Sus scrofa: one gene and its partner. The protein of the gene in region 1 purifies or fractionates together with the protein of each later gene. This does not show direct contact. Links are inferred from orthologs where the notes say so. Each region holds a gene or a part of one and is shown on either strand. Other genes may lie near its edges. The genes, in order: ARHGEF2 and MARK2.

The links.
Region 2: the proteins of ARHGEF2 (region 1) and MARK2 purify together in Homo sapiens (affinity purification with western blotting; 3 studies listed by BioGRID and IntAct, with this or other methods). This does not show direct contact. The link is inferred for Sus scrofa from reciprocal best matches to the Homo sapiens genes ARHGEF2 and MARK2.

What each region holds. Positions count from the first base shown.
Region 1 is NC_010446.5:94,067,658-94,071,462, reverse strand, and holds part of ARHGEF2 (rho guanine nucleotide exchange factor 2), read right to left. Parts: intron 3,732-3,805; coding exon 3,481-3,731; intron 3,276-3,480; coding exon 3,150-3,275; intron 2,837-3,149; coding exon 2,719-2,836; intron 2,517-2,718; coding exon 2,268-2,516; intron 222-2,267; coding exon 145-221; intron 1-144. UniProt on the Homo sapiens protein: Activates Rho-GTPases by promoting the exchange of GDP for GTP.
Region 2 is NC_010444.4:8,153,113-8,156,721, forward strand, and holds the end of MARK2 (serine/threonine-protein kinase MARK2), read right to left. Parts: intron 3,592-3,609; coding exon 3,547-3,591; intron 2,935-3,546; coding exon 2,574-2,934; 3' UTR 758-2,573; downstream 1-757. UniProt on the Homo sapiens protein: Serine/threonine-protein kinase. Involved in cell polarity and microtubule dynamics regulation. Phosphorylates CRTC2/TORC2, DCX, HDAC7, KIF13B, MAP2, MAP4 and RAB11FIP2. Phosphorylates the microtubule-associated protein MAPT/TAU.

The DNA of each region.
Region 1 (3,805 bases):
TTTGTCATTACATTATAGTAACAGTTATAATAATAGCTGTTTGACTCTGGAGGAGTCCAAGGTTCTTTCAGGCTGGAGTAGGAAATCAAGAAGGGGCCTGAAACACTTGTCTGTGCTGAGAAAGGAGAAGGTGGAAGGTCTCACCAGGGCAGGAAAGATGTACTTCTGGTCCTTCTCCTGGAGAAACACCAGCACATCTGTCATCAGCAGCATCAGCACATCTGACAGGAGGATAAAGGCAGGAGAACACTCAGCATTGGAGGGTGTGAGCAGCTGTTTCCCTTTCTCAGGAACCAGGTCTACCCCGTCAGGCTAGAGCTCCTGATTCCCCTCTTCCTGATCTCTCTGCCTCTGGTTTGCTCCCTCTACCTTTGCAGACTCCCCCTGATCCATTCTTACAGCTCAGGAATTGGGAGAAAAATGTATGTGCCATTAGATAAAACAGCTTCTTGGGCTAAAGCGCCCATAAGCAATCACCCAATGCCTTTGAAAAAAACACTCTATCCAGGGGATGCAGGTTTCTTAACCTGGGGTCTACAGATCCCTAGGATGTCCACTGTTGGGCTTCAGGGCTCTGCAAAGCCTCCAAAGTTGCATAAGCAATTTTACATATTCATACAACACACGTGTAATTTTCAGTGTGCAAAGGTCCAGAATTTATGTGAGGGTAAAAGGATTCCATCCACAGTAGGAGGGACTACTGTTTTTAAGCCTTTCAGTTCCATGTCAAACAACAATCATAAGACCTTTCTGGACATTTGGCCTAAGGTCACCCTATCCCACCACCCCTGCCCCTACCCTGGCGTAGTCCTACTTCTCATTTTGTGCTCCTCCGCAGGGAGGGGAGCAGCTAGCTTCCTTATCCCCCTCTCCCACCGTTGAACAATCCCAGTCTCCAACCTCAGCAGGCCCTGCTTTCATGCTCCTTCTCTACCCCACCTTCCAGGTTCTCAAGATCCTACGAGGTCCTGTGCTCTCAATTTAAAACTTAGGGGGCAGTTCTCTGGTGCCTCCAAGAAGGGTTAAGGATCTGGCATTATCACTGCTGTGGTACCAGTTTGATCCCTGGCCTTGGAACTTCTGCATGCCTCAGGCGTGACCGAAAAAAAAAAGACTTGGGGGAAACAAAGGTCAAGCCCATGAAAACTGGATAGCACAGTCAAGCAAACACACTCACTCTGCCCTTGGAGATCTAATAGTGGGCACACAGAAGGGGAGGGCTTTCACTAAATGCTTCAGAAATAAAGCTCTCCAGCCTTGCTATTTTTAATCCCCCCCAGAGTTTATATTCTTAGCTTCTGCGTGGGAGGGATGAGAGGAGAGAAAGGGATGAAGGAAAGTGGCTGGTGAAGCCTGTGATACTCAAGCCCATGGAGTGGGGATTTCATGATATGGGACAGAGGTGCAGGCAGGTTCTGGTCTCAGGTAGTACTGGTTACTTCTGCCCCTCATTCCTCACCCCCAAAGCCGAAAACTGCAACTCTCTTGTCTTGATTTAGGTAGGAAAGACTTGGCCAGAGCAGTCTGGGAAGAGAGCCTGGGAAAGCATGCCCTGCCCCAACATGCCCCCTCTGTACTCTCTTCTCTACCCTGCTGGCCCCTCCCTGGGCTCCGCCCCCTCCCCTGGGCCTTCCCCAACTGTGCTCCCAAAACTCCTGCCCATTCCCCAGCCCCAGCAGCTGGGATTCAAGCTGGAAGAATCAACCCTGATCTCTGACCCTGGAATTTCTCTGTCTTCCTGATCAAAACTGGTAGGTTTCTGGGTATACAAGGACCAAAAAAAAAAAAAAAAAAAAATCACTAAGGAAGTCCTTGTATGGCCCATGAAATTAAATCCAGAATTCAGACTTTTGTTGCAACAGAGAACATGTATTTTCCTCCCATGAGGTTTCACCCAGGATATAGGGCTGCATAAATAAGTCCTGAAGGAGGAGTAGCTCAGTGGTTAACGAACCCGACTAGTATCCAGGAGGACGAAGGTTCAATCCTGGCCTTGCTCAGTGGGTTAAGGATCCCGCATTGCCATGAGCTATGTTGTAGGTCACAGATGTGGCTGGGATTTCATGTTGATGTGGCTATGGCTGGCAGCTATAGCTCTGATTGAACCTCTAGCCTGGGAATCTCCATATGCCACAGGTACAACCCTAAAAAGACAAAAGACCAAAAAAAAAAAAAAAAAAAGTCCTAAGTGTTTGGATGCTTCTCCCTCTCTAAATCTGATCGTGGACTCGCAGACTCTTCCCTGGTCTGCCAAGCTGACCACTGACCTTTGAAGCGCCCCGCTGCTGTCTTCCAGAGCAGGCAACCATCGTGAATGAGCTTGCGCCGCAGAAGCTCCTCTCGGCCAAAGGGGCCCTTGCCAGGCACTGGGGTCTGGGCCCTGGGGTCCATGCGGTTGTAGATCTCCTGCAGGCGGGCCCCCTTCTCCAGCTCATGTACATCCTGGTCCACATTGGACAGCAGCTCCTTTACCAGCCCCAGTGCCGTCGTCAGGTCCTGGCGCTCCTCCTCGATCCCTGGCACCACGGGTCGGCGTGAGGGAGAAGTGGCTTAGCCAGCTTCATGCCAGCCACCATACTCCAACCCATCTCACCTCACCATCAGAGGTGGCCCACGGTCCCACAGCTGACTCTATCTCTCCTCTTGGTTATCCCAAGCCGCTTCTCACCCCAGAGAGCCCTCTCCCCATCTTCTTTCCTCCCGGGTCCTCCCTCTCACCGTGGGTATGCTGCAGGATGCGGCTGATGAGCACCGGGTACTTGGTGATGCGCTGAGTCACCAGCAGGATGCACTCCTGTACCCCATGGCGCTTCAGCACGGCTGAGCGGGTCACTTTCTAGAAGGACAGAGGCAGGGCTCAGGGCCAAGGTGGGACCCGAGCCGAGGACAACAGAAAGAACCCTGGACTTGGAGCCTAAGCCCTGGTGTGGGCCCTAGCTTGGCCATTTACCATGCGCTGGCTGGCATAGGTGACTGAGACTGGAAAATGGGGAGGACAAGGCCATGGGTTTATCATGAGGCTCAAAGTAGCAAAAGCACTTGGTCTACTGCTATGGGGGGCTGTTGACAGGATCCACAGGCAGATGTGTCTACAAGGGCTGGACCACCGGAGGAGGTTCTGAGTTTGGGTCCTGGAGAGGGTTGCTCACCCGGATAAACTGCTGGAAGCGTTTGTCTCGGGCATAGAGCTCCTTATAGAGCTTTAAGGCCTTGGTGTGGCGGCTACAGAACTCCGAATAGGTCTTCCGCATCTGGTCTGCGCTGGGACCTGAGAACTAGAAGTTGGGGGAGCAAGGCTGGGTCAGCATTTCCCCCAAAGCCACCTCTTATCCCCCACACCCTCTAGTCTCCTGCCATACAGGCTGGCTTCCAAGCCTCTCCAGCTCTCCCTGGCTCCACCCCCTAGAGTTTGGAGCTGAAAAATGACTTTAGTCACACCTCCTCCCAGGAATGTTGCCCATGGGTCTTGTCTTTTCTCACCTGGGTGATGAGAAGGTCACCCAAGCGATGGATGACAAAGTTCCGGGGGCTGCCAGGGCACAGAGCCTGGCGTCGGCGTTCTAACAGCTGGCTGAGGAAGCGTGTGTGGATGTCACTAAGCTCGTCCACGCAGGGGAATAGGCCCTGGACCACTCCTGGCTCCAGTTGCAGCTCTTCCAGCATCCCCGTGCGGAAGAGGCGGGTCATGATCTTTAGCGTCCGCACGTGATGAAGCTCTGTCTGGATTAGCTCTGTGGGGACAGCGCAACATCTGGCCTCTACCCTGGCTCGGTTACAACCGGTAGGGCCTAGGCTAGGGACCTCA
Region 2 (3,609 bases), on another chromosome or scaffold:
GGACAGAAGGGACTAGAGCTCCTGCCAGGTCTTTGGAAGACCCAGAGCCGCCTTCTGGCACAGCCTGCACCTGTGGGCTCTGCACGTGTTCCTGGCAGCCGAGCCTGTGTCCACCCGCTCCCAGCCAGGGTCTGGGGTCTTCTGAGCTGGCCCGAGGCTACTTTCTCTTCCTGGCTGGGTCTGGAACGGCTGCCTCCTCGCCTGCCAGGGCTTGGCCTTTGGGTCCTGCCCTTCGAGTATAGGGGGTAGTGACCATAGCTTGGGGAGCCGGGGAGAGGACAGTTAGGTGTCTTGGCTGTTCCTCCTCTTTCCCTTCTTTTAGCAATAAGTTTGGGGTGAGGTGGGAGGGTGTTGAAGGAGGGAGGTGGGCAGAGAGGCTCTTTGGGGCCTGACGGCAGCGGAGGCTGGAGAAGGGGCTCTTGTGTCTTCAGGGTCAGGTGGGAAGTGCTGAGGAGCTCTGAGGGTGCCCACTGCCCAAAAGCTTAGAGAAAGGGTTGGGAACATATGCAGACATGGGTTTATTTTTCAATGTTTTTAAAAAATAAATAAAACCTTCAAGCTCACTGAATCCTTTCTCTTTTAGTTTAAGTGTCCTGGACGTCGCTTCCTGTCTGTGCCATGAGGATGGGAGTGGGGAGGGCGCCCGCCCAGCACTGGCCTTTCCCCAGGCCCCAGACAGGAATCAAGGCAGGCGGGCTGGGCTGCCCATGGACACTGGGTCCCTGCCCAGCTGGGAGAAGAGACAGGAGGCAGCTCAGATTCCAAACATTCTCTTTATTACGTGTTTGATCCAGAGGAAAAACTAAGTGCAGGAAGGGGGGCTGGGTGGGGAGGGGCCACCTTGCCTGGGAGCCCCCCCCCAGCCACCACCCCCTTTGGGAGCCAAGCCTTGCCCTCCCGGCCCCTCGGAGCACCCGGGCTGTTCCATAGGGCAGGGGAGGGAGAGAGGGAGGGAGGGAGGGAGAGCCCTTGGTAGGAGCCGGAGCCCACAGTCGAGCCCACAGTCTTAGGGCTTGGGGCAGGAGGGCTGAGGTTGGCGGGGCCCCTTCCTGGGACCCAAGGGCTCAACTTGCCGGGGAGCCAGGCCTGGGAGTGGGGGTGATGAGTAGGGGTGGAGTCATCATAAATCAAAAAAAGAAAAAAAAAATAAAATAATAAAATAAAAAATAAAACCCATCACAAAAAAATGTACAACTCAGGTGAGGGTAGAGGCAGCCTCTGTTCAGGACCTCTCCCCCAATTTCTCAAGAACAGAGACAGCAGAGAAATAAATTAAGGGATGCAGCGGCTGCCACCAGCCAAGCGCCCATAACCAGCCACTCCCACGCTGGCTGCGGAGGTTAGCGAGCTGGGAGTCACTTGGCCTATCGGTCCCCCACCCCGCCGCCGAGAGCAGAGGCTCCCCGGCCCTGCTGCCCTATCCAGCCTCCCGCGGAGGCCCCGGGGCAGTGTCTCCTGAGAGGAGGGGTGACAGTGTGAGGAAGAAAAGGCAAGGCCAAGAGATGAGTGGTGAGGGAAGTCACTGCTATGGAACTAGCTGGTGCCCAGATTAATGCCAACGAAGGGGAGCAGTGGGGAGAGGAACGGCGTGGGGGGCTGTGCTTTCAGACAAAGGCTCTCCCAGAACGGAGAATGCCCAGCGTCCCTGTTCCGGAGACTAGCAGCCCAGGCGGCCCCCTGGGGGCCGAGGAGCCCATCTGCCCTGCAGTCCCCTCCCCTCTCCCAGCCCTGGGGTCAGCCCCGCCTTCTACCCAGGAGGGGGTGGGAGAAGATGGCACAGACTTTTTGAGGAGGGGAACAAAAGTCCCCACAGCAGCTTGTGGAAGGAAATGCCCAGCTCTGGGGAAGGAGGGGCAGAGGATACAGTGTGGAGGGAGGCCGGAGCCCCGCGCCCAGCCTGCCAGCCCCAGAGCAGCCGCCAGCCCCACGGCTTCAGGGCTGCGCGGCACCCCCACCCCCAGCCCCCCGCCGCCCAGGCCTCCAGCCCAGGGGCCTGAGGTCAGGGCAAGGCCACCTCTGGTGGTTTACTTGGAGGGGAAGGAGGAGAGGAGAGGGGAGAAGCCCAAAGTGGGCCTGGCGGAGGGCCTAACAGGGAACTCCACCACTCTTGCCTGAGAGTGTTCCAGCCCTGAGCCACCCTCCCGGGAAACCCCGCAGATCCAGTCTCGACTGTCCCAATGGGGCAGGGAGGAAAGGTGGCCGCTGGGATTTTTTTTTTTTTTCTTTTTTCTTTTTGGTAATAAAAAATTTCTTGGTTTAGGCGAAATACTCTGTGCAACCGCAGTACCGAGGGGGAGCCCCGCCCCCCACCCCTCCCTCCCCTTCCTTCGCCTCCTGCGGGAGAGAGGGGGGGAGGGGGACGATCTGGGCAGGGTAACCGTGGTGGGGGCGAGAACCATCTCCCGGCCCCCACAAACATGGAAGAAAAAACTGAGACGGGCGGGGAGGGGAGAAGTGCCAGCAGGGGAGACACACCAATCCATCTCTGCAGTCCGGCCCGGGCGGGCGGAGCGCCGGCCCCAGCAGCTAAGTCCAGCTGGCCGCCTCCTTCGCCCCCCACTCCTGGCAGCCTGTTAAAGCTTAAGCTCGTTGGCTATTTTGGAGGCAATGTTTTTGAAGGCCATGGAGGTGCCCGATATCCGCTTAAATCGAACACCGTTGAGAGAGAGCCGAGGCAGTTTGCACACCTCCATCTCCCACTGCACGAAGTTCTCGTGGCCCGGCGTGCCGTGCATGCACAGCAGCATGTACTTCTCGTGCAGCTCGCTCTGGCAGCTGTTTGCGTCCAGCACCTTGCGGATCTCCCGCATCATCTCGTTGGGCTCCATGGAGCTCGTGGTCTTCATGCTCCACGTGAAGCGAAGTGAGCGGGGCTTGGCCTCCCGAAACTCCTCCTTGTCTTTGTCGTTGCCGCCGCTGCCCACCACGTGAGGTCTGCGGAGAGGGCAGAGGCGGGCGTCAGGCGGGAGCTGGGGCGCCCCACCCATGGGAGAGCCCCCCTGGCACAAGGACCCTGAGACGGAGAGAAGAGCGGGAGGGTGCCAGGAGGCGGCGGTGCTGGAAGAGGGCGCCTCAGACCTGGCCCGGGGAGCGGAGGGAGGGGTGAGGAGGGTGCGCAGTCCTGCAGCCCCCCGGGGGGCGGGGGTGACGAGGTGACAGCTCCAGGCTTTCCTTTGTAGAGGGAGGGGCGGCGAAGAAAGGGGAGCACATGCTCCAAGCCCTGAGCAGTTCGCAGACTGGACAGCAAGAAGTGGCTGATTCGTGGGAAGGGGAGCTTGCCGACAGGGAAGGAGTCTGTACCTCCAAACCCCGGCCCAGGGCTCCTGCTTCCAGGACACACCAGATCTAAGGAGAAGGGCCCGCACCTACTGCAGCAGGGCGGGGGTGGGGGTGGGGTTCTCTGAGGAAAGGGAGACCCCCGAGAGGACGGGGGAGGCAGAAGCACAGGAGGAAGAGCCAGGTGGCAGAAGGACGAGAGGAGCAGGCGGCTCGTGGCAAGCCGGGTGGCCCCGGGCAGGGCCGGCGCTGGCTCCAGCCCTCTCTCACCTGAGCGTCTCCACTCGGTCTTTGCTTTCAGGTTCATTCAGGTTCCTCAAAAAACAGAGCGAG